Nothobranchius furzeri: one gene and its partners. The protein of the gene in region 3 interacts with the protein of the main gene of each other region in a biochemical or structural test. Links are inferred from orthologs where the notes say so. Each region holds a gene or a part of one and is shown on either strand. Other genes may lie near its edges.

Region 1 (5,004 bases), on a different chromosome or scaffold from region 3:
TCTACAAAGATCTGTGTAAATATGTGAAGCAGCTTGTTTATGTGTAAAGTAACCTACATGTGGTTTGGGAAATAAAACATGGTGACTAAGAAACATGGAGTTATTTAAAATAGAATTTCTTGTTTTATCTAAAAACAGCTCTCTGAAGCATCAATAAACACGATTTAAAATCCTGTTGTGACATTTGCTTTAATGCTTCGTGGTGTCCAGAGGATGAGCCCAGTGCTGAGACGTGCTCTCTGTGCTTCAGGAAGAGTTGATCATTAGAGGGTGGCTTTGATGATCAGGAAGTCGAACGACACCCTCATCCAGACTTTGCTGCAGCACCGGTAGGAAACAGAGTGAGACTACAGGAATGAGCACAGAATGATGCTATCTGACATATCAGTGGTGAATTGTGATTAAATTTTGGTTATGTGCTGTGGTTAAAGAGGAGCAAGAAGCTCAAGATCCTGAGAGAGACGGGGTTTAATCAGAGAAGAGCTGGTGAACACATTCACCAATTAATATTTCAGACAGTTTTCACACAAGAGTTCATTTACTAAGTGAACAAGACTCCAGACCAACCAGGTGCTCTGTGAACCAGTGACAGTCAGACACGGTGGTGGTGGTGGGATGGTCTGGGGCTGCTTAGCTACTTCAGGACCTGGAACACTTGTTGATGGAACCATGGGTTCTGTTCTCTAGCAGGACATCCTGAATGAGAGCATCTGACCTTAAACAGGCCATATCTGCTGGAGAACCCTTTAATGGAGCTGAATTCAGACTGTTCTGTGGAGAAGAGCAGGACAAGACTCCTCTACAGTGATGTGAGGGACGTGTTACCAGTTCCCACACACACTTAATCCAGTAGGTTCCTCCACGGGTCTTACAGCTAGTCGGTAGGCTTTGGTGCGAGTTACTTTGTTATGTGTCTGTAGATAAAGGTGTATGGCAGAGGTCCTCGACTCACTTTGTTCAGCCAGAATTTAATGATTGCTTTTTGAGAAAAAAAACACAATCCTCCTTTTTCCTGCTAACAAAACCCAGGAACCATAAGATCCAAATGTTTGAGAAGTCAGATTATGGAGATACTTTATTTCACAGCATGGACAGATTGTGATACTGAGATCCTAGAAAGGTCATAAAATTATGTCACAGCATGATGAAAGGTGAGGTGAAGTTGAAAGGTCAGCCTAAGTAAATGAAGGCTCCTATCACTAGAACACAAATCTCTAACCCCTAATTCCCGTTGACCCCGGTAACCCTAATCCTTAGCTGCAGCTAACAAAGGTTCATGAACTTTAAAGGTTCTGACCTACAAAATAACAACCCTGGAGATTTCTGTGGCTGCTGAGCCACATATATGTTTTGCTCTGTTCTGCAGCCTGTGGTCGGGCTAAAATTAAGCACATCAAAAGTATGTTCAGCTAAAAATAAAAATTATTGACAGATTTGTTTCTCATCTCTGTTCTGGGTGGACTGTATTGGATATAGTTATGAGAATTATATTCATTTGTCTGTTTTATATTGAAATGCTGTTTCGCCTGCATTAATTAGATTATTTTATAAGGATCTCAGGTTCAAGAAAAAAGACCTGATGACAGTCCAACCTTCCAGCAGGAGGCAGCCCATCCTAACAAAAGAGGGGATGTGAGGCTCAAAGGGAAAATTCTGGGACAGGTTGATCGGTGCTTCTTTGCTGTAAAACCTTGAAACAGAATCAGAAGAGAAACTTAACGGAGAACAAAAAACAGTCACAGATAAAGAGGCATAGTTAATCTGGGACAGCAACAGATTCTTCACCACAGCTAAGGTAAGAATCTACAAAACAGGTCCAACTACTTTTAGCCTTGTGTGTGTGTGTGTGTGTGTGTGTGTGTGTGTGTGTGTGTGTGTGTGTGTGTGTTTCTGCTTGTTCTGTAACCTTTTAGCTATTTGTGAGGAATGCTGATAAACTTCTGGCCTTTTGAAGGGGCCAGTGTGTGATCATCAGGTGTGTGTGTGTGTGTGTGTGTGTGTGCGTGCGTGCGTGTGTGATGGGGGTTACAGTTAACCTGAATTAATCACCAGTGTTTTAAACAAATAAAAAAAACAATAAAACTAGAATCTGGTGCAAAAATTAATTTATGTCAGTAAATAAACGTAGACTGAGAGGCTAAAGACTAAAGGCTCAGGAACCCTTTGCATGTGTTTCCGATCAAGCCGATTAGCCTAGAATATTAATGGTCTAGGATTTAGATATTGGGGTTTTCATAAACTGTAAGCCATAATCTTTACAGTTATGACAAATAAAGGCTTGAAATTTCTGTCTTTGCCTGGAATTATTCCAATATGTTAGTTTCACCTTTTAAGTTGACTAACTGAACTAATGGTTCCAGTCTCACCTGTAAACATGTAAGATTCTGATTTTTCATTGACAAAACGTTGTCTTTATATCCACCCATAATTGTTGTGGCTTCCGTTTCACAGCAAAAATGAGCGTCTCTGCGCATGTGGTAATTGTTCCGCTCACAACTGCGTCACTGACTCCGGCCCAGGTTACAATCAGCTATCGATCACCTCCGATCAGCGCGCGCCAGCCAATGGCCTCGCACGGAGGCGGTCCGTTGCCAAGGAGGAGGTTTGGTTGAGTCTCCGGGTCGCAGCCATTCAGCGGCGGTGACTGAAGCGATTGGACTGCTCGGGTCTCTCCGAGACTTTTTTGTGGAATTTGAATTATTTGGCACGGCACGGCTCGTGACTCACAGGTGACGGTCTCGGTGGGGATCCTTCTGGGTCGCAGAGGTGGTCACAGGTATGTTGAAAGAAAAAACAAAAGACGTTCTGTGTTGATAGGACGAGCGTTTCTAGTTAACCGTTAGCTCCCAAGCTAAGCTGCGCTAGTCCCCCCCTCCCTGCGCACCAAGCTACACTAGCTCCCGGTTACGTGACACTATTCTGTTCTTTTACTACCCTGACTACATGGCAGAAGAGGCTAATGCAAGCTCCGAGGTCTGATTTCTCTCACAAACAAAGGAGATGTCATTCTGTATGTGGCAGTCTGAGATGGGATGATATTTAGCTAGTTAGCTCACCACTTTCAAGTTACCAGGATAACTTTTAAGAGATGGACGTCACTCCGGCTGGAGTGTGCAGCCACCGAGCTGGTTTGTTGTCACGACGTCGCTGGTGTGTAATATTATTGTTAAAACGTTGTGTGCTAAAGAAAGAGTGGGTTTATTTAGCTGTAAACTGAAGTGACTTAGCACGTTCCGGGGAAAAAAGGCGTAACTGGTTCAGCTCTGAACATGTTAATGAGGCTGAAACGACAGGTCCTGGATCAGCCGTGACTCATGCTCTTAACACGCTGGATGGTTTAAGGTGCGTTAATGTGATCGCGTAAGGTGATGGTATCTTGGTGAGATCTTGCTCACTCTTCATTCTACTCTGGTTGTATCTGTGAGCAGATAAACACAGTAGTCAGATTACCTCCTACTAACAGATCCAGGAGCAGGAGGATGATGTGCCCAGGTTATTCAGATGGGAATGTTGTCAGGAAGTTTGGATCCATCACAATTCCCTTGATGGTATCATGACATGCTGTTTTGTCGTTCATTATGAGGGAATAGTGTTTGTTTGCTAATAATATTTTTATTCTGGTTGGATAAGTGTAATTGTATAAATTCAAGATGAAAAAAAAAACAAAACAGCACATAGCTAGGCCCCTTAAACATCAAATCTCACTTTTTGTTTACAAGTCTACAGAAACAAGACAACTACTGTCAGCCATGTTTATTCCTATTCATTCATCGGTTTAAGCCCAGTAGTTTTTTCTGAAGTGGAAAAAATGGAGCAAAATGGCAGATTTTTCTCCCATCGTTTACCAAAAAGGGAGTTGTCTGGTTATCTTCCACTGAACCCACTGTCTAAGTATGTCAGCTATTCGAGGGAGGCGAAGGAGAACACAGGAGCATGTATCTTTCTGTGGTTTAGAGATTCTCTGAGAAACTTGCATTACCCTTATCATCTTGCGCTGCTGTCAAGAGAAAAGAGCTCTTTTGGCAGTGAGCTTTGCATGCAAATGATGCAACACAGGTAGATAAACCTGCTGTGCAATGATAATGCATTCACCAGGCTAACCTGTCCTCAGATAGTCGTGCCTACCTGTGTGTGGTGAAATCAGCATCCGTTTAGCTCAGTTTTGATTGATTCTTTGTTTTGTTGACTGATCAAATAGAATCCGTGTGGCCGTCTCCTCGGCTTCCTAATGTGCATGATATTTTCTGTCATGTACGGGTGTTTGCTTATGAGTTTTTAGTGAGTTGGTTTGAAAACAAGTTGCTTCTTTAGCTGTTTTGGAGCACAGAGAAGACGCAAGCAAGATGGAATTCAAAGGGAGTTGCATATTATTGTTTCTGTTAGCCCCTTCAAACGTCCGTGTAGCATTTGATACCCTTTCATCTTCACAAAGAGGGGCATGCTGTCTGCACACTAGGGCTGCAGCTATCGAATATTTTTGTAATCGAGTACTCTATCGAATATTTTTTTCGATTAATCGAGTACTCTAATAAATTACCCTTTTGTGTTTGTAAACCATTATATCATATATTGATGAGCCAAGATGGCGTCGAGTATGGCTGCCTCGTCGCGAGCTCCACCAAGTTCCAACATTACACACTCCATACTGTACATTAATGCCACTGTTTTGCACATACCAACCTCTGTACATTTTATATCTCTTATCTTGTTTACTTTATTCATTTGTATACTTAGATTAGCCATTTTTATATTTTACTTGTTTTTACATTACTGTATTTTTGCACAACTCTGTTGCTGTGAAGCTCGCACACAAGAATTTCACTCGCATGTACTGTACCAGTGTACCTGCACATGTGACGTGACAATAAAAGTGATTTGATATCAAATAGCATGTTATAATTATGAAAGACCTCTTAAAATGAGCAAGCAATTGCCAGTTATTCTTCAAGTTTTATTCAAAATTAGTTTGCATAACTTCAGCACTTCAACTTTACTTCACAGTAA
Region 2 (5,107 bases), about 11 Mb from region 3:
CAGCGTCCTTTTAAGCCAGACTTTTTTTTAAAAGGAGCTAAACTGACAACCCCCCAGGCAACTGAGAAGGAAATCTGTTTCAATGTAACCTTCCTTCCAACTTGATTGAGACATTAGACTGTTTTGTGATTGTTTCACTGTAAAATTCTTACATGTTTCACCTTTAAATTGCTACAATATTTTTCACATTTTCTGATGTAAAAGCTGCTGTTTTATGTCATCATGCTTGATCTAGATCTGCCACCATGATGTTAAATTGAATTCAGACAGTTTAATTGAAATTGTAAGGATTTTAAGCAAAAAGAGTCCCAGATGAATGCATCATCCCCATCTTCATACTCCTTTGTTCTGTGAACCAACTGCCAACACACTAATATATGATTTCTGGCCCTGACCCACTTTCTGTTAGAGGTGGCTGATGTCACTTGGCAAAATAACCCCCTTTTTAGAAAGTGTGTAGCATTATATTAAATCAAACAGATCTTGCAATAGTCTAGTCTACAAATAGAAGTATTAGTGCATGATCTGTTGGTGCATGACAAGTGTTGGATTTGTCATCTCACGGTGCAGCCACCTGGACGGTCTGGTCGCGTTCTAATTTTAGCATCCCCATGCCTTAATGCAAACCCTCGCTTTGTCTTAGTGATCCAGATGCTTTCCTGGCATGCCTGATGAGATTCAGTTGTCACTGCTGATTTCTGGAGATTTGCTTTACATCTGAATGTTTTTTCTCTTGTAAGAATTTCCCATTTTAAGTTAAAATTGGATAAATATGGAAGATTATCATAACAATGTTAGAGAAAATGCAATAAATGGTCATAAAGATGAAATGCAAAAGGTTTTTATTTTTTATTTGGTTTCAGTCAAAACTAGTTTCCATCTATCTTTGTATCTGGTGCAGCTGGATGTATTATCAGTTGTCACAATCCAAACTAAATATTTAGCTCTAACTTTGCCAAATAGTGCATCTTCGTAGGTTATGGTTCACATTTTTATCCAGTTGTCTTCCAGGGCTTTGCATCATCCTCTGGGATTATTGGATTTAAACACATTTTGCTCACCTGTTTCCTCCTCCTTGTTCCAACAATTTTAGGTCGTTTTTAGCCTTCTGTAAGCAACATTTCCACCGTATCTCTTTATTTGTCTGTTACACTGATGAACAGTTTTTCTGCCTTCCTGTCTCACTGATTCCACTCTTCTTCCCATTTCTACATGATTTTTTTTTTGCCTCCCAGCCTTCGCGACACTACTTGCTTAATGTTTACTTACCCACCTGCCTGTCTGTGGATCATCATGGCTGCGTAGCAGCTTGACCTTTGCTGATGTTCTGTTTTTCTTTCTAAACATGCTCAGACATGCACACATCGCTGGCTCTTACTGAATGGAAAAGACTTTCTTATCCATTTTTGGGATAAATGCGTACAAGTACAGCCACAAGAGCGTACTGTTTATTTACCCAGGTTAGGATTTAAATAACAAAAGACATTTAATCTCTACTAAAAACATCTTTTTAAAAAAAGCCTATGTTGTATTTTTGTCCTTACTGCTTACTATTCACAGCAGCACAGGTCTCCCATTCAGTCTGGAGTGGTCTGGCCGTGTCCTCTCCTCTGCAGTTGGCAGTGCAAGCTGTGCCCCTGTGTGTGTGTGTGTGTGTGTGTGTGTGTGTGTGTGTGTGTGTGTGTGTGTGTGTGTGTGTGTGTGTGTGTGTGTGTGTGTGTGTGTGTGTGTGTGTGTGTGTGTGTGTGTGTGTGTGTGTGTGTGTGTGCGTGCGTGTGTGTGTGTGTGTGTGTGTGTGTGTGCGTGCGTGTGTTACTGCTTCGTTGGCTGATAGTCTCTTCATCTCTGCTCCCTTTGGGGAGGCTTGTTAAACAACTTTTGCCTGTCCAAAAACAGACCGATCCTTTGAGCGTCCTGAGCAGCTGTCAGAATTTGAGTCCAGGTTTTTGTGAATATCTCTAGGGGTTTGTGTTTCTGAATCACTGTTTACCTATCCATTTAAATTTTCTTGTTCTGCCTCTTGTATATGTGGGAATGAAACATCACTTCCTATACTGGCAGATAGAAACATGCAAACCCATTGGAAATCACATAAAATCCTCTGACTAGAATCTATGTGCCTAAAACAAGCGATTTCAAAAAGTCTCTGTTTGTGACATCACAAACAGGAACTTTTTGTAGTAAAACAGGCATGGGGAATCCTGGTCCTCAAGGGCCGGTATCCTGCATGCCTTTGCTCCAACACTTCTGAATCAGTGGTTGAATCACTTGTGCAGCAGCTCATCGATCTCTGCAGAAGCCTGTTAATCACCTGCTGATTGAAACCAGGTGTATTGAAGCAGGGTTGAAATTAAAATATGCTGGAAAGCGGCCCTCTATGGACCAGGGTTCCCCACCCCTGTAGTAGAAGAATAAAACCACCTCTCATGCGCAACAAAGAGATGCTGCTGGAGGAGCAGCAACCCTACTCCAAGCCCCTCCCTGATATCTGAGCTTGTTAGCTTATAGCAGCCTGAGCGGGGGATGGGTGGGCGTGGCCAGCAACAGCTTGTTTTCTTAAAATGATAGAACACTGAGATGGCTCATTCTGGAAGATACTGAAATGGCCGATAATAAAACTGCTGAAATTGTTCAGTGAGACGGATTTAGTGCAAAGAACTTCATGAACATGTTTTTTTCTACCATAAAACTATTCTAACTTAAGAAAAAAGGCATAATATGCCCCTTTAATACAAATCAAATGAAAGCTATTTACTTGATCAATTTTTACTGATAATTAACCAAAATAATCAATTACTTAAAATCCAACTGTGAAATGAAAAGAAAAAAGTAACTGGGGTGATGGTGGCACAGGAGTTAAATGATCTCCTCGTAATCGGAAGGTTGCAGGTTCGAGCCCCGCTCAGTTTGTCGCTGTCGTTGTGTCTTTGGGCAAGACACTTAACCACTCCTTGCCCGCTGGTGGTGGCTGGAGGGACCGGTGGCGCCAGTGCTCGGCTGCCTCGCCTCTGTCAGTGCACCTCAGGGCAGCTGTGGCTACATTGTGGCTCATCCCCATCAGGGTGTGAATGTGTGTGTGAAAGGGTGAAAGACTGATAGTGTTTTAAAGCGCCTTGGGGGGTTCCAGGACTCTAGAAGTCCCTATATCAAATGCAGGCCATTTACTATTTAACTGATGCAGACCTTAAACAGGTACAACAAAGATTTAGACTTTATTTTCTGACAAAACTTAATCTGTTACTTAATTATCTTCTTTTCTCTTATTTAACACAGTGAAGTAAATAGATGCTTCTTTACCTTCGGCTGACATGTTTCAGCCAGAACTTCCGCCTTTGTCAGAGTTTTAAAGATAAATATGGATAATCTGTTTCTATTTTAAAGTTTATTTTTGCTCATTTTTAAATATTAAGCTGTTATTTGTTATGCCATTTACACATAAGCTAAATGTAATAGCGACAATGACACAATTGTAGTGTTTTAATGTTGTTTGTGTTTGTAAAAACTAGTTCCTGTAGGCTGAAGGGTGGAACAACATTATAATAACACATTTGCTTCTGCTCTGAGTGACGTTCCTCCCGCTGTGAGTTTGTTTTCACATATTGGAAAATCCAGACTGAGTTACGCATTTTCTTAGAGAACAGGTGAGCGTTAAAACTATTAAACAATGCTTGGAGAGGAATTCTTATGAGCTTTTTATTGTGCAAATCCTCTGAACAGTTGAGAGTTTTTGAAATAATTTGTTGGCCTAATTTATTTTAGGTTTGGGAACTTTTCTCTTGTTTGGATTAAAACTTTTTGGCGTTTCCTGGAATTGCTGTGTCTTGAGGATACACCACTAATTATGCCAGCACTTGAATTAGCATTCCTCTGATTGGGAGTCCTTTTTAAACTTCACCTCATACGCGTCTCAAGCATGTATCTTTAATTTTTCTTCTCTGCTGCAGCTCATGCATGCTTAACTTTCCTTTCTTGGTGTGTTCTTTTAAATGCATGCGGTGTGAAGCTGCCATCTGTATGCTACTGAATACTTTCCCTCGCACTGCTGTAAATCTGTCGGCTTTTATTTGGAGCCAAAGTGGATTTATTGGAAAGGAGAAAGGAGCAAAAAACAGAAAACTGATTAAAAATGTTCGAAAAAGTCTTGAAGGCTTTTATTTTGCCCTTTTGAGGAAACGATGAAAAAGCAAAAATGTTCACGTCATCAAAAAACTGAAAGATCAATGAAAAACTTGCCATGAGAGGTAATTTATATGTTATGTTTGACCATGACTATTTCAGTTAGTATTACATCACCAAGTTCAAACTAAAACACACATTACAATAATAGAATACCAAGTCTTATTTAAGGGTTGACACAGTTTCCTGAAACTTTTAAGCATTTTTAAATTAAAAAAATTCAAATTCAGACATCTGAATAAATACTGTAAAAATGGTGAAGATTTTTATTTTATTAGAACTAGAAGCCAAATACAGCAACCATTACCTTTTTGGTTAAAGATGTCTGGATGTGGAAGTAATGGAGGGGTTACGTCCCCGACAGGAGGTGTTTAAATGTGAAGGAGGGGGCAACATAAGAAATGTGATAGTGGAGTTAAAACGGGTTTAATTGTTATAAAAGGTTCTAAAAACAAGTGCAAACAGATGGCGAGCATTATTAAAATTATGCAAAACGAAAAATTCACTATAAGGTTAACAGTTAAAAGACAATTCATCAACTATATAAAACACCTGGTTAAAACTTTATTAAATGTTTTACCTAAACCAAAGGTGTTTTAAAAACACAACAAAGTTGATAAAAGTCTAAAAACTAAAACCGAGTTAACCTTAAAACAGAGTCAACTAAGTTGACATCAGCCAAAGATCCATGTGGATCACTCAGAGTTTTTCCCTTTAAAACTTCTCAACTCAGAGTTAAAACTCATCACAAATGAAAGGGTTGAACCCAAACTGAGACCTGGAGGACAGCAGAACCCCTGCACTGCTGCCTCCCAGACTGCTGAAGGCACCGCCTTTTTATCCCAGGTGTGGGTCATCAGGAGGGTTCCGCTCAGCTGTGCTCCTCAGCAGCCTGGAAGAGAGGATGAGGAGGGGCGATGTCGGGCTGATC
Region 3 (5,063 bases):
ACTATGACGATTGGCATTCTGACCGTTGGAATGCGAGGCTGGATATAGAGACAAAAATAACAATATTTCTTTATTGATATTTGATCAATGTTAACATGAAAATTAAAGGACACATAAGTCAGGAAGCAGTCAAAACGACTGCCTTTGGAGTTCTACTGTTAACCCTGAAGCCAAGACAGAGACGCTAAGTTGGGATTGAGACAAAACTTAGCTCACCTTGCCCAAGACCATGTCAGCCAACCCTGACCGCTTCAAGAACAGAGCCGCATCAGCTGCCGCTACCCGCCCGCTGCCAGTGGGATCCACCTGCATGCACGCCCACAGCAGCATGTTTAATGTGCATGACGCTCGGATGCACAGGTTCTGAATAAAGAGCCTGTGTCTCACTTTAACCAGAACTATTATAATCTCTGTAGTATTAGCTCAGCACTCCATTAGAAAGCCCAGAGGGAGCTTCCCTGAATGGTTGTCAAAGGGAAACATTATTAATTCATAGGCTGGAAAAGAAAAGGCAGAAGAGAGAACTCACCAGTGAAAGCTCTACAGCTAATTTCAATTTTAAATTCACAAAAGCAACAGATAAAAACGGTTGTTCTGTGTTAGTCTGTTTGAATTTGACACAACTGAATGACATTGGTTAAAAAAACTACTGATATTTAAATTGCTATAATAAATATTCATGCTTATAATATAATTTAACAAAGGGAAGAGGAGTGGTCGTTTCCATTACCTGTCGATAATGTTTGTCATAGATGGGATTTCCACTGGAAAGCTGAAAACAAATAAAAGCATGTTTGTAAATTTTGCAAACCTCATTTGATGCGTTTCATAGAGTCCAAAACAAAATTTTAAAGTGTCAGTTACAAAAACCTAAAATGTCTGTATTTCTCTAAGAAATCTTTTTAGTTTACAAATTTGAATAAAATATAATCTGGCAGCTAGAGAAAATCAGTCAGAAGATCAAAAACTGAAAACGTTAACCACAGAGTTTAAAAAGCCACAGAGCCACTAGAGTACATGCACCAGTAGATTTAACCTTTAAATTTAAAATATTATAAAGCCTAAAATATGCCACAAAATGTTAGCTTATCCCAGAACTGATCATAATTAATCAGTAAAACCAAAGACACGTTGAAGTAATGCCACTTTTGTGAAGAACAAGTGATGCCACTACTGGGATTCTTGATTGTTGAATAATTAGATTTTCACTGTTACAGGTTCTAAGAGGTGAGTCTTTATTCATGCAAAAATTAAATGACAAACATATCTTTGTGTTTTTTATACAAAGCAAAGTTAATCATTATTTTCTGGTGATGAAACTGCAAAGCAAGGCTAACTGATACTAAAGCTCTGAGCTGAATTACCATGACGATACCTTCTGGAAGCCTGTGATTTGTGTTCAAACTAAGCCACAAGATGTTAACACTCGAGAGTAATTTGCTTTTCTGATGTAATATCCCTTCTTTCCTCTTCTCATCTGAGCTAAACAGGAAACAAATCAGCATTTCCCTGTTTTTAAACTAAAAATGCTAAATGGTAGCTTCCATGAAATAGAGAAAAGGAGTGGACAGCAATTATCTGGTAAGTGGATGTGCTGAGGAGCAGTCTTAAAAGCTTTCCTTCCATCTCCAAACCAATATGAAGATGAAGAAGAAAACAGCAACATCAGCTTAGGAGTAAATTATGTAACCAACTCTGGCACATAAGAAAAAAAACATAGCCTGTCATCAGCAGTTGTCTGTCAGCTACTTTGGACAACTAAATGCCAATTTTAAAGTGAGATAACTGTTGACGCGCGCGCGCACACACACACACACACACACACACACACAGAAATTGTAACACAGTAGTGTGCCTGGAACTATCGATGGCTGTGACACTGTCATCATTGTACTGCACTCTTTAAAAAGCCATAAAGTGAAAAAAAACTATAACCATTATTGCATAGTTCATTCAAAACTTTGGCATTCAACAAGATGCATCATGTTGCATTTGTTAACAGGACAGGCTGGTTTCTCTTTGACATTTCAACATGTTTGATTGTCACAGCAATAAAATGGTAAACAGTGTCAGCAGAAACATGGAGGTCAGATTAGATACTAATCAGACAAGAAGCAGCAGCAATGAAGAGAAAACACAGAGACAACGCTGCTCCTGCTCTGTTGACAGAGGCAACAGAGGCTCGGGTGACCATACCAATTAAACTTGCCCGCTACCTGCTAAATAACTTACAATTCACCAACTTTGGGTTCTTCACCCAACTAGCAACAGGCTTTTACTTCTGACAGCAGAACGAGCTAGTGGCTGCCATAGTTAACTTCCTCTTACTGGTTTCAGAACGACAGTTTACATTATTTAAAGCTGCACTACTAAAAATTAACTCAACGTTTACATTAAATAATTGAACATAATAAAGTCTGTCCACTTCAAAAATGTCAAAGGAATAAAAACACATCAACCGAAGCACGTTTCATTCTATTTATAGCCATATCAAGTGTAACCATGCAGACAGCCATGGGAGTAGCAACGTAGCTTATAAAGCACACGAAAGCAGAAGATGCAACACAACATAACTAAAACTTGGAGCGAACGTTAACCAACTAAAATATGACAGCAGAGCCACAACAGAGAGCCACACATGGTTATCATCTTCTTAGCAAAGACCGGCTGGCCTGCGGCTAACAGAGGGTGCGCAATGTTGTTTTAAAGACTGCTAACCAAAGCCAAGTCACGTTAGCTAAACGTCAAGTTTGACAAAGAAGCCCCACTAACAGCCCCACACTGGACATAAACTAGCTGTTAGCAGGCAGGCTAGCTGGCTAGCTACGCCCTTACGCAGTCCCCAAAGAGATTAGACAGAAACTTTTCGCAGCAGGGCTAAAACTTCCCCAACACCGACGACGGTCGAGGAGAGCACTCGTTTCCGCCCGCCCAGTCCGGCCAGCACCACTGAGTTGGGCGCAAGTAACGCGGACAGAAGCCCGCGGCGTTCGTTGTCGTTATATTTGAGTTGTAAGACACTGTTACCTGAGTAAGAGACAAAGTGGCAGCCATAGTGTTTCTGTTTCCCACTGCTTTCAGGCTGCGCTGCTGCCAGACACAGACAGAGGCCGCTGAAAAACCTGGAACCGGACCCGAAATACAGAGTCGTCCAATCACACCCACTAACAGCAGGCCAGTCATTTAACCCTGGGCACGCCCATCGACATAATATACGGGCACACCCAAAAGGAGGCCCGGGGGCCCTTAGTGGCCCTCGGAGTGATTTTGTTTGGCCCATAGACTGTTTGGCCTCATTATTGAATTTCTAGAATGGTGGGATTTTGTCTCTCCTGCAGTCTGGTGATGTAGATAGAAACTTTGAGATTTTCATGATCAAACATTTTTATTAATGTGTATATTTTTGGTGTTTTGAACCATATAAAAACATAAAATAACTGCAGCATTATTAAAAAAAATTCAGTTGATTATTTTGCTCTTGAAAGGGTTGGACATTCCAATTTAAAGAGCAAGTCACTCCTACCAGACTCTTAAGCCTGGGGCACACTGAAGGCAGACGCACCGCACCCGCGCCGTCGTTTTAAATAAAAGCCATTATAGTTAATGAGAGTGGGTACACAGGGAACGCCGCGCGGCGTCCCAGAAGCGCTGTGCTGCACCTAGGCACTGAAGACAGGTGCCAGTTTTATCTCAAGTGCCGCGGCGCAGCTGTTTACAACATTGTGGAGTACTTTACAACAGACATTACGACGTGGAATGGCTTTACGGCACAAACCCAACCACAGTTTTGATAACTTCAAATTTAAATAAATAGCATACTTACCCATTTTTAATTAATTTGAGTCTCACAAAACATGACAGCAAGTCTGATCATGTATAAACAATAGAGTCACTTCCTTATTTCTGTTCTCAAGTCCAACGTGATGTTGTGACTATTACGCGACTTTCCAAGAAGCGTTCAGCAGCTCCGCCTGTGTGACCACTTGACTTCTCAAAATCTCGAGAGTGACGCAGCGCGTCTCCCTCCGGCAACAAATACTGCTGCCTGGCAGACCAGCTCAGTGACCTAGTGGTAGAGTGACCGCCCTGAGACTGGGAGATCAGGGTTCAATTCCTGGTCGGGTCATACCAAAGACTTTGAAAAAATGGGACCCAATGCCTCCCTGCTTGACACTCAGCATTAAGGGGTTGGACTGGGGGGTTAAGCCACCAAATGGTTCCTGAGCACAGCTGTGTCTGCAGCTCACCGCTCCCCCAGGGTCAATTGCGGAGAACAAATTTCGCACACCTCCTCCTTGAACCGTCACCTTATTGTGGTGGAGGAGTTTGAGTGCCCTAATGATCCTAGGAGCTATGTTGTCTGGGGCACTTAGTGCCCCTGGTAGGGTCTCCCATGACAAATTGGTCTTAGGTGAAGGGTGAGACAAAGAACGGTTCGAAGGATCTTTCATGGCGGTGAAAACGAAGAGTCGGAGTACCCGGCCCGGAGGGTTACCGGGGTCCCACCCTGGAGCCAGGCCTGGGGTTGGGGCCCGTGAGCGAGCGCCTGGTGGCCGGGCTTTCGCCCATGGGGCCCGGCCGGGCCCAGCCCGAACCGGATACATGGGCTCGTCCAACTGTGGACCCACCACCCGCAGGAGGAACATGAAGGGTCCGGTGCAATGTGAATCGGGTGGCAGACCAAGGCGGGAGCCTTGGCGGTCCAATCCCCGGACAAGGAAACTAGTTTTTGGGACATGGAACGTCACCTCGCTGGCGGGGAAGGAGCCGGAGCTTGTGGCAGAGGTTGAGCGGTACCGGCTAGATATAGTCGGACTCACCTCGACACATTGCATTGGCTCTGGAACCCGAGACCTGGAGAGGGGTTGGACACTCTACTTTGCTGGAGTTGCTCCGGGTGAGAGGCGGAGGGCTGGGGTTGGCTTTTTGTTAGCCTCGAGACTCTCTGCCTGTGTGTTGGGGTTTACCCCGGGGGACAAGAGGGTAGCTTCCTTGCGCCTTCGGGTCGGGGAACGGGTCCTGACTGTTGTTTGTGCGTATGGGCCAAATATCAGTTCAGAGTA
Region 4 (4,980 bases), about 10 Mb from region 3:
ATTATTTTTTTAACTCTAACATTTGAAAGCTTATTTTTTCACGAAACTGTGGTCATGTTTTTATTCCTGTCAAATCTGAAGCCAGAAGAGATGATGAAGATCTAACCATCACCATTACTGAACAGGAAATGTACAGCGACCATGCAAAGTGGCACTTTTGACACTCTTCTGCTGCACGACTGAGGAGGAAATCAGGCATTGAGTGCTTCCAACAGAGCGCCCTCACTTCTCATGTGTGCAATATGCTAATAGCACCTGGGAGGACAAGTAAAGTCATGAGGCTCATTTAGTGTCAAAACACAAAATGCATTTTTGTTTGAATTTCACGGTGTCTAATAGAAATTAATCTGTGAGCTTTTGCATTAACAGTTTTAATGATGCACTCTCTAGCAGATACTCAAATTTTGCAAATTTTAAAGGAAGTTTCAGTTTCCTCTGAACTATTTTCAGTTGCAACAAACGTCAGAGCAATAACTGAGCAAAGTGAAACCGAACCTGGCTGCTCTGGAGCCTTTGGAGGTGGTTGTGAAAAGAAGAATATTGCACAAGCTGCTCAACATAATGAGTAGCAGCACAACGCCTCTGCACAACATGTTGGTTTAGGCACCATACTTGTTTAGTTAAAGGCTTTTCCTTCCCCACTTCAATAAGAACCAGCACAGGAGGTGGTTCCTGTGATGGAGACAATGACTTTGGATCAACAAAGGCAACTTTATGTGTGTGACTGTGATGCATGTGATTTTTTACGTTTTAACCCTGTGGTAGACGGTGTTTTGAAATTAGGACATTAACACATACCAGTTGTGAATTTTTAAGGTGGTAACAATGTTAAGGACAATCACTTGACTTGTGGCTGTTGTCCATGCTTTCGTTATTGCTATTATTTTATGACACGAAAGCAAACAAACATGTATGATAAAAATAACTGAACATTTTAAAATTAGTTTAGCCCTCCATCCCATTTCCTTTGAACAAAAGCATTCCAAGACAGCTTCTTTCCCCCCAAAAATAAGGACAATAAATAAACGGTTGCTGCAAGAAATCTCTTTGAACATCATGGATCATTAGTGCATATGTATGCTATATTTATATCTACTTTTTCTTTTTTCTTAGATGTGTTCTTTATCTGTATGCCCAAAATAGACCATTTGATTGCCTTCAAATTTAATTGTGTTCTCAATAAATTAAAGCTTTCTAATTATGATATTCATCACTGTTTGAAAATGAATCTTCAATTTGAGCTGTTTTACAATATCCTTCAAAATATTATAAGATATATGCATTCTTATTACATTTTCAGGGAATTGAGCTAAGCTTCACAATGTGTGATTATTTTTCAAGCACCTCAATATTTATAATAAATTTCAAAATTGTAATTAAAATGGACGAGTAACTGTTATATTTAGTTTAAATGTGTGATTTATTGACAAATAACACTACCACTCACATCCTTGGTGTCATACTTTTGTTCCAAAAGTATCATTGGCTGATTTTCTAACTGTGGTAACCATTGTCCAATCATATGCGAGTATACAATTTTCAGCCCGCCTTCGAGTGGTTGCTATGTCTACTACGCGTCTCTGTATAACTGACAGGCTGGGTAGCCAATCAGCATTGAGCTGGGCGGGCGCACGCGCTCACACTGGCAACTGTCTCATGAATTTGTACTACTATGATCAAACCGTACTGAGAGAGGTCGAGTGTTGGACCGAAGCAGCCCAAAGTCGGGATGGAAAATGAACGTTACGCTAACTGAACACTCTGTCCAGGTAAGGAAAGAGTTCCTCGTCTTGTTCCGTTCTCTTTACAGTGACTAATATTGAGAAGTGTCCGTGAAAGTACCCGCTAATTACGCTACGGTTTTTAAAATAGCATTAGTACACGCGCTTGTTTGACGTTTGAACGGAGGGAAATTTCGCTAACCCACAAAAGAAAAACAAAAACTAGACTAACATGGTCATGTATGGGTTTGAGATGCATAAAAGCGGACTCGTTTATTTTCTGTGTGTCTGGTGGGGTGAAAATATCATTTTGGTCAAGGTGGCTCTCAGTTTTGTTGTCAACCGGCATGACGAATGTGTTGTCCCACTGTCTGACGCTGCTTTCCTTTTATTTATTGTGAGATATTTATATTTCAAGCTTTTTACATAACTTATGAGTTATTTCTAATGTTGAAAGTTAGTTATTTTGAATTCACATAATTGTTATTTATGTGTTTTTAATATGAGCGCGCTGTGTTTGAAAGCTTATGTTAATAAGATTAATTAATATCGAAATGCTAGAAAATAGACTTTTAGGAAAGGTCAGAGTGGTACAGGTTAAACAAAAGCTTATTTACGTTCATACCGTCTAGAATTGAAATTTCAATACCTTTTTAATTTCAGTTTATTGTTCCTTTTAGTTTACTAAGGCAGCCACAGCTTTAAATGTGTCCTCATTAGTTTTTGTCATAAATCTCAGTCAAGTTCCTTTAAACTACTCTGTCAGAAACATAAAAATGAAACTTTACAAGAATTTTTAATAAATATGAACAAGAAATAATATTTTAAACAATATTTTTTTCTATATGAAAGTAAAAATTTACCTGCATATCATTTCATCTCACACTGACACACCTCCTCCATATTGCTCAATTGAAACTTTTTCCTGTCTGAAAGTAGAGTAACATCAACTCTTAAATCAAGTCTGTCCATCACGCTTGTGCCAAACTACTCATTAGCTGATTTTACTGTTGTAATTACTGATTTATTTTTATTTTTGAATCACGTTTCTTTCATCAGTTTAACAAGGTTAATCACTGGTTGCAAAAAAAAAAAACAAAAACTGGTGGGGAGTTTCCCTTTGAATGTTTGTTAGATGCTTATTTTTCAGTATGACTTACAAGTAAATTTTCCAACAGCTATAGGATAAACTAGTGTTTGCATAATGACACTGTGCTCAGCTACCTTCTTGAGCAGAAGTTGTTTTTCTGCTGTTTCTGCTTTTCTCCCTCTGTGTCTTAAAGCAAATGTCACAAGTTAAGATCTGCTGTGTCTTGATACCAAAAGGCCAAACAACACTCTCCTTGTGCCTTGACTTCTGCCAGGGAGAAACATTTTCAATTCAATTCAAGTTTATTTATATAGCGCCAAATCACGACAAGAGTCGTCTCAAGGCACTTCACATAATAAACATTCCAATTCAGGTCAGTTCATTAAGCCAATCAGAAATAATGTTTCCTATATAAGGAACCCAGCAAATTGCATCAAGTCACTGACTAGTGTCAGTGACTTTACAGCAATCCTCATACTAAGCAAGCATAAAGCGACAGTGGAGAGGAAAACTCCCTTTTAACAGGAAGAAACCTCCAGAGAATCCTGGCTCAGTATAAGCAGCCATCCTCCACGACTCACTGGGGGTCGAGAAGACAGAGCACACACACACACACACACGCACGCACGCACGCGCGAATAAACAGCAATGTTGTTTTACAGGAGTGTGAAAATATGACAAATATCAAAATACAGGGGAGACAATACGATATTGTGATGCTAAAAGCAAGATAATATTTGTTATTTTTAAGACTGAACATAGTAGTAAGACGCAGGCCAGACGCTTCCAAGACACATCCTGGACTAATCCCAATACTCACACGGTGACCTACGATCTCGTTGCGTCATTGACCATGACACATGCCAGGATGCCGGTCACTGTTTGTGCTACTTTATTTTAAAAATCTTTGTCAACAACTTTCATACAAACAATTGATAAAATTAAAATTCATTGCTGTCCACATTGAATTTTTGTCTAAAACATTCAGAGCATGAGCAAATATTAATCATCTTAAAATGAACTTCTTTCGTTTGAATATACATATAAGGAGCCCAAGTCTCCTCCCCTACTGGTTGGCTCATGGGTGCCTGGAAAAATGAAAAAAATGAATGCAAGTCAATGGAACTAAAAGAGCTATTTTCTAATCCGCTTTGGCTTACGCCCTGGATCGCACATATGTTGTACTTCAATTTGAATGAAAACTTTTGATGAATGTTTCAACCATGTCAGTCACGTACTTTGAGATTTATCAGCTTGTAAAAGTTCGTAATTAGCATGACTACAAATGAGACATCGGCATGTTGCATATATGACGTCTCCACAGAACCTCCTCTCCCCTAGCGTAGCTGCTACTTACCAAATGGCCAGATTTATGGTGGTTCTTTCCTTCTGAAGGAAGGATTTGAGGTTTGCTGAAGTTACAGCAATTTTCCATTCGTTTTTCTCCATGTCTGGTACGGTGACGTCAATTTCGTTAAGCGCATTTGTAGTTGAAATTATTTTCACACAAAAGATAAATAACGTTTCCCCCTGCTCAAAAATAAGCGCTTCCTTGGTATCAAAATGCGTCTTGAGTTCACAAACATCATATGTGAAATCCATGGCACAAAACAAACAGAATTAGAAAATAGCACTTTTAGCCCCATTGACTTGCATTAATTTTTTCGTTCTTCCGAGGACCCATGGTCCGGAAGTAGATGGGCGTGACTTAAGCTCCCTATTTTCATAAAACGCACCTGAGCCATTGTTCTGCCTTTTCAAAATTCCCACACAGTAGGGCTGCTCAATTATGGCAAAAATAGTGATCACGATTATTGTGACTGAAACTGAGATCTTGATTATTTAAGACGATTTTTCAATTTATGTTGATTTTATTTGCTTTTATTCAGTCAAAAATTGCTCAGGGAACAATCAGGAAAAAAATAAATAAGAAACAGGATGATCACTAAAATAACTCCTGATTCCCAGTATAAAAAGACCAATATACTTATAGCTCATAGTCTATGACCCAAGGGCTACAGACCTCGGTTTAACTCATTTAAGTCTAACCAGTACAGACCCAAACACCAATATCTTGCAAATACTGACAGCAAGAATTATACAGTGGCATTTATAACAAATAAATGCAAATAAATTGATGTTCACAAAATGTTGCATAACATTTATTTA
Region 5 (4,840 bases), on a different chromosome or scaffold from region 3:
CCTGATTTTACTTCACTGAAACTGGATTTATTTTAGCCTTACAAAAAAAGTAAACATTTAGTCAAATGCAACTTTACATGAAAGTAAAAGGACACTACTCTGTGCTGCAACCCTGAACATTACCTGAACTTTGAATTCTGCTGCTAAGAGCCCATATCTATTTACTGGGTAATAATATTCCTTATCACAGCTTTTCCTACAAACGACCAGACATCCAGGAGCCCTCGGAGAGAGAATGAGCCTGGAGGGAATGAATCTTTTAAACACCAATAACAATAGAGCCAACATTTAAAGACAAATGGTTGCAATAATATGAACAAGTGAAAAATTAAACCAGCAGATACTCACTATCTGCTTTTTCAATGATGCCAAACGTATAGTACCTGGTTTTTCAACAAAGAATGGACTCATGTCTAATAAAGGTTTAATGTGTACATTTCTCCTGCATAATTCTTGTCCACACACTGTCTCCTGAGCCTTTGTTTGCACTAGATTGCTTACACAGCAGGCTGAACAATTGCTGCTGACCACATGCATCCTTTCACTGCCATAATCTACATGTTCTCACCAAACCATGCTAAAATGATTCCCGGTGCACGCTGTGCCAAAGCCACACCCCCTTGTAACAAAAAACATCTTAAAGAGCAAGTCACCCCCAAATCAACTTTTTTTCCTGATTAACTATATAAATGCATGTCTAATTGTGCTGCAGACACGTGTAGTCAATAGTTTTGCACTCTCAAGAACCACGTGTTGTGACATCACCAAGATCTCGCGTCCAAGCCATTTACGAGGCCATGGCAGAATAAACTCAAGGAAACACTGCAACTACTAGCTAATTGTACAAGTTCTACATGTTCTCACAAAGCGCTTAGCCTGCCGGGTGACCAAGCAAAAAAGTGCTGGGGGAAACTCTGGTATCGCGCTAGATTCTTGCCAATATGCACTCCTAATATCAAAGTACTGTGCAGCCATTGCTACCAGTATTAGTCTAAATTTTCAGAATATCTCCACACATGAATACAAAAATTGAAGGTTGTTGGATCAAGTTTAACCTGAAAATGTTCATCTATCAAAAACTTTCATCTAAATGAATAAACTTCACTTTATAATCACCATCCGAGACTAGCCTTGCTGGGTAACCGAGATTCAGTGCTATTTTCCCCGTGAAAACCTTGAGTTTTCTGCACTCCGACCCAGCTGTAGCAAAACATGAGTCCAGACCCGATGGTCCAGACTGAACTCTACCACAGGTCTGCTGAAAGGAATGTCAGGAAAAATCAAGTTTAACACAAACTACCCTCTCAAAATCAACAACAACTTGTTTTATACTTGTCCAGCAATCAGAGTATAACTTTTTTATTGGAAAGTTGGTATTAAAATAAATAAATAAATAAAATTACTTTGCATCTGGCATCATGTTTTAAATCTCCATCAGCATTGGTTACATAAAAGCCATGTATAAGATATGAAAGTCAGTTTAGCGCCTCTTAAAACTCAACAACCAAGTTCACGTCCGTCACCTAATCTTAGACAAGTTCTGAAACACGTCCTTTGGCTCTCAGACATCAGACCCAGAGCAACATATCAAGTTCCATTAACTACATTTAAACTCTGCTGCTCTCGGCTACAACACTCCATCTTTGTTTCACAAGTATTACTGACACGGAGATGCCTTATCACACAGAAAACATGACATAACTAAATGGCCTAGATTATGAATAAACTACATTCAGTCTTCTTCACCAAAACAGGTAGTTCCCCTGCAAACTGCATTACCAGGCTCAGTATAACCATGATTAGTTTTACTGTGGAGCAAATACATTGCTCTAAGACTGAAGTATGATTGGGAACAAACAAATGGGTTTTTGTGCATCTCAAGTGTAATATATAAAACTATGTTTTCTTGAGCTGATCTCACAGGAATAACCTCATAATTGCTCAAAAAGGAAACCCCAAATAGGCAGGTTAGTTCACCATTTCAATCATCATACAAGGCCTTGGCTGGCTGGCCAAGCACAGGAGAGCTAGAGAGAGAGCACCCACTGAATAAAGGTCAGAACCAACAATCTGTACTGAAAGCAGATCCCACTTCCTTCATTTTACAAGTAGATTAGTGATCTAGAACCAACGGGATCAGCAGGTGTTACTCTCAACCTTTCCTCTCGCAAACTTTTTCTAAAGTTAGTTTCTTGGTTATTTTAATCAGCTGTGACCACGCTTTGCCTGCTTTTCCATAGCCACGTATCTGGGCAAAGTACAAGTACACAGTGTACTTCAGGTGGATTTCATTTCTGCAGCATGGACGCACCGAAGGAAATGTTTCTAGGGAGTTTTGGATTGAATTTGGTCTATACTGAAAGTACACATTGCAGAAGGAAAGCCATTTGCTCAGGCTCGTTGTTTATAAGAATTGTTTACAACTTTAGGGTCATATCCCAGCACATCCCATAAAAACGATTAAACACGGTAGGTTTTAAGTTCATATGGGTGGATTTAAATACATAAATAACGAATACAATAAACACAAATGTTTTAAAAAGTTGGTATCAAACTTCAACTCGTTTGTTCTGCTTTTGAACCTCCATGGAGCTGACGCACCAGAGTCCCCCCCACCCAGATAACTCACCCGGAGATAAGACAAACAACCGTTACTCAGTAAAACAATTACAGTTTATGCTGGTACACCCTATCAGCGAAAAAAACGTTAGCAATCAAACAGCTGTGCAGCTGCTAACGTGAGCTACAGCATTAAACTAGCATCACTGTGCCACTAAGTCCGATGGTGACTGGGAAGAATGAACGAAAACGTCCAACTAACGGTAGCTGTCATTTAGCAACTCTCACCACAAGCTAATCGAAAGTGTTGACTAGCACTTTGCTACTCAGCTCTGAAAAGTCTGTGCAAAAAATAGTCACAAGATGGGACACGAGGGTGCAGCTTGGCACGAACAGGCAATCTACTAAAAACCCATGAAATTTCCAGACATAACAAGGAGTTACAGCAGACTAGACTCGAAGGTTACCTGCCAGTTTGATTGATAAAGAAATCACTTGATGCTAGCGAACTAGCTTCTGATGCTAATTCGCAACCTGACTGCTACATTGTGTGAGAATTAGATGACAGGGACACCTCCTGCTTTGGGACAGCGTCGGCTACACTCGTTCAAAAGACAACACGTCACAAAAGATTGACAACGTGACAAAATAACCATCTAGATAACATAAATACTGACCCTGTTGTAGCCTGGATGTACGAGGAGATGGCCGAACTTCCGCTTCCGTTCTCGCCTACAGGAAAGACCGCACCTCCTGATTTTTTTAAAACTTTATTTAATAATTATTTACAGTTTTATCACCAAATAAATGACATTGAATATGATCTTTTAACGATGTCATACCACGCAATCTAAGCAATATAAAGTTATATTATGGAAAAATCTTATTTGGTGAAAATATGCAGAATAGAATAGAATAGAATAGAATAGAATAGAATAGAATAGAATAGAATTTATTATTCCCACAGTGGGGAAATTCACTCGTTACAGCAGCACATACACTTAGAGAAAAGGAAGAAAAATAAACAAGATTACTGGTAAATACACAAATGCAGTAAACTTTTATTAATACGTGAAATGAATATATAAGAATGACAACAACACCATAAACAATATAATCAACAACAACAACAGCAACAATATTAATAATAATAAAATTAAATAAAAGTCACTCTACCTGGACTTGATTCATGAAGACTGCAACAAGCTATTTTAAAACAGCTTTTATTTCCATGATCTTATCAGACTCATATCTAACATTTATAGCAATTTGTATACTACAAACATGGGTGACACTACCGCAATCAAAACAGGTCTATACACAAGTATTTTTACTATATAATGAAGGAAAATCTTATGTTCCAATACAGGTACCACATTTTTAAGCCATTAATTATTAGCATTTGCTGCGTAACAACTCCCTGTTAAAAATAGATTCACAGGCAACACTTTAATGTGACTAAAAAACAAAAGCATTTGATTATTTGTACAAAATAAAAAAAGTCATCTCAGAACAGTTACAAAAATGAATTATATTAATTGCAAATCCAGTGACACTCACTGTACAATCAAGTCCAATTACTGCTGGTGTAATCCTGTTTCATGAAGATCATTTCAGTCATGATTAATATTTATTTCACTTTTATGAGATCCAGTTTACGCTGTTTACTACTTTGATGATAATACACTTAAAAAAGCCTAGACCAAAAAGAGGGGACACAAGAGCATACTAACTGATTTGCAAAAAGTTGCAAGATGTTGAGAAAGTTTAAACTAATAAACACAAATCTTAATTTAGATGTAATAAAATCCATTTAGTTACAACGGATACATGTCATATCAGTCTGATTTATTTATTCTGGAGTGTGATAGCAGGCTTGTCCACAAAGAGGCACCATTTACCTACCTTTAACCTCAGATGAAACCAGAACAGCCGCCTTCACCTGCCAGTAAATTCATAATTAACACAAGACAAACTCTGTAGAAGACAGCAACACCAACAGCTGGCATACATGTGTTACAAGCTTGGATTTCATTCTGCAGACTGCCATTCACAGTGACTGCAGTTCATGTGCTGAGCATCACAGAAAATCATACGCTTAAAGATACACTCGTGAAAAAAAGGTGAATATCATACACTGTGACCTGATGTTGCTGTAATTAATATTAACAGAAACACGCCTGTCTTCCTGTTTGGGGCATGTCATTTCATTAACAACATAACTGTCTGCAGGAGGTGTTCAGAAAGAATAGACTCCATGTGAAAACTTTCTGGTGGTCCG

What was found.
Region 1: the proteins of eps15 (region 3) and numb form a complex in vitro, tested with the Homo sapiens proteins (2 studies listed by BioGRID and IntAct, with this or other methods). The link is inferred for Nothobranchius furzeri from reciprocal best matches to the Homo sapiens genes EPS15 and NUMB.
Region 2: the proteins of eps15 (region 3) and sgip1a form a complex in vitro, tested with the Homo sapiens proteins (2 studies listed by BioGRID, with this or other methods). The link is inferred for Nothobranchius furzeri from reciprocal best matches to the Homo sapiens genes EPS15 and SGIP1.
Region 4: the proteins of eps15 (region 3) and fcho1 form a complex in vitro, tested with the Homo sapiens proteins (2 studies listed by BioGRID). The link is inferred for Nothobranchius furzeri from reciprocal best matches to the Homo sapiens genes EPS15 and FCHO1.
Region 5: the proteins of eps15 (region 3) and epn1a form a complex in vitro, tested with the Homo sapiens proteins (4 studies listed by BioGRID and IntAct, with this or other methods). The link is inferred for Nothobranchius furzeri from reciprocal best matches to the Homo sapiens genes EPS15 and EPN1.

The regions. Positions count from the first base shown.
Region 1 is NC_091758.1:16,940,666-16,945,669, reverse strand, and holds the start of numb (protein numb homolog), read left to right. Parts: upstream 1-1,690; 5' UTR 1,691-1,795; intron 1,796-2,620; exon of another isoform or gene 2,621-2,776; intron 2,777-2,782; exon of another isoform or gene 2,783-2,973; intron 2,974-5,004. UniProt on the Homo sapiens protein: Regulates clathrin-mediated receptor endocytosis. Plays a role in the process of neurogenesis.
Region 2 is NC_091748.1:68,168,401-68,173,507, forward strand, and holds the start of sgip1a (SH3-containing GRB2-like protein 3-interacting protein 1), read left to right. Parts: upstream 1-1,793; 5' UTR 1,794-5,107.
Region 3 is NC_091748.1:56,887,381-56,892,443, forward strand, and holds the start of eps15 (epidermal growth factor receptor substrate 15), read right to left. Parts: upstream 3,199-5,063; 5' UTR 3,184-3,198; coding exon 3,028-3,183; intron 773-3,027; coding exon 731-772; intron 307-730; coding exon 217-306; intron 1-216. UniProt on the Homo sapiens protein: Involved in cell growth regulation. May be involved in the regulation of mitogenic signals and control of cell proliferation. Involved in the internalization of ligand-inducible receptors of the receptor tyrosine kinase (RTK) type, in particular EGFR.
Region 4 is NC_091748.1:67,313,946-67,318,925, reverse strand, and holds the start of fcho1 (f-BAR domain only protein 1), read left to right. Parts: upstream 1-1,666; 5' UTR 1,667-1,769; intron 1,770-4,980. UniProt on the Homo sapiens protein: Functions in an early step of clathrin-mediated endocytosis. Has both a membrane binding/bending activity and the ability to recruit proteins essential to the formation of functional clathrin-coated pits.
Region 5 is NC_091745.1:76,098,661-76,103,500, reverse strand, and holds the start of epn1a (epsin-1), read right to left. Parts: upstream 3,315-4,840; 5' UTR 3,237-3,314; intron 1-3,236. UniProt on the Homo sapiens protein: Binds to membranes enriched in phosphatidylinositol 4,5-bisphosphate (PtdIns(4,5)P2). Modifies membrane curvature and facilitates the formation of clathrin-coated invaginations. Regulates receptor-mediated endocytosis.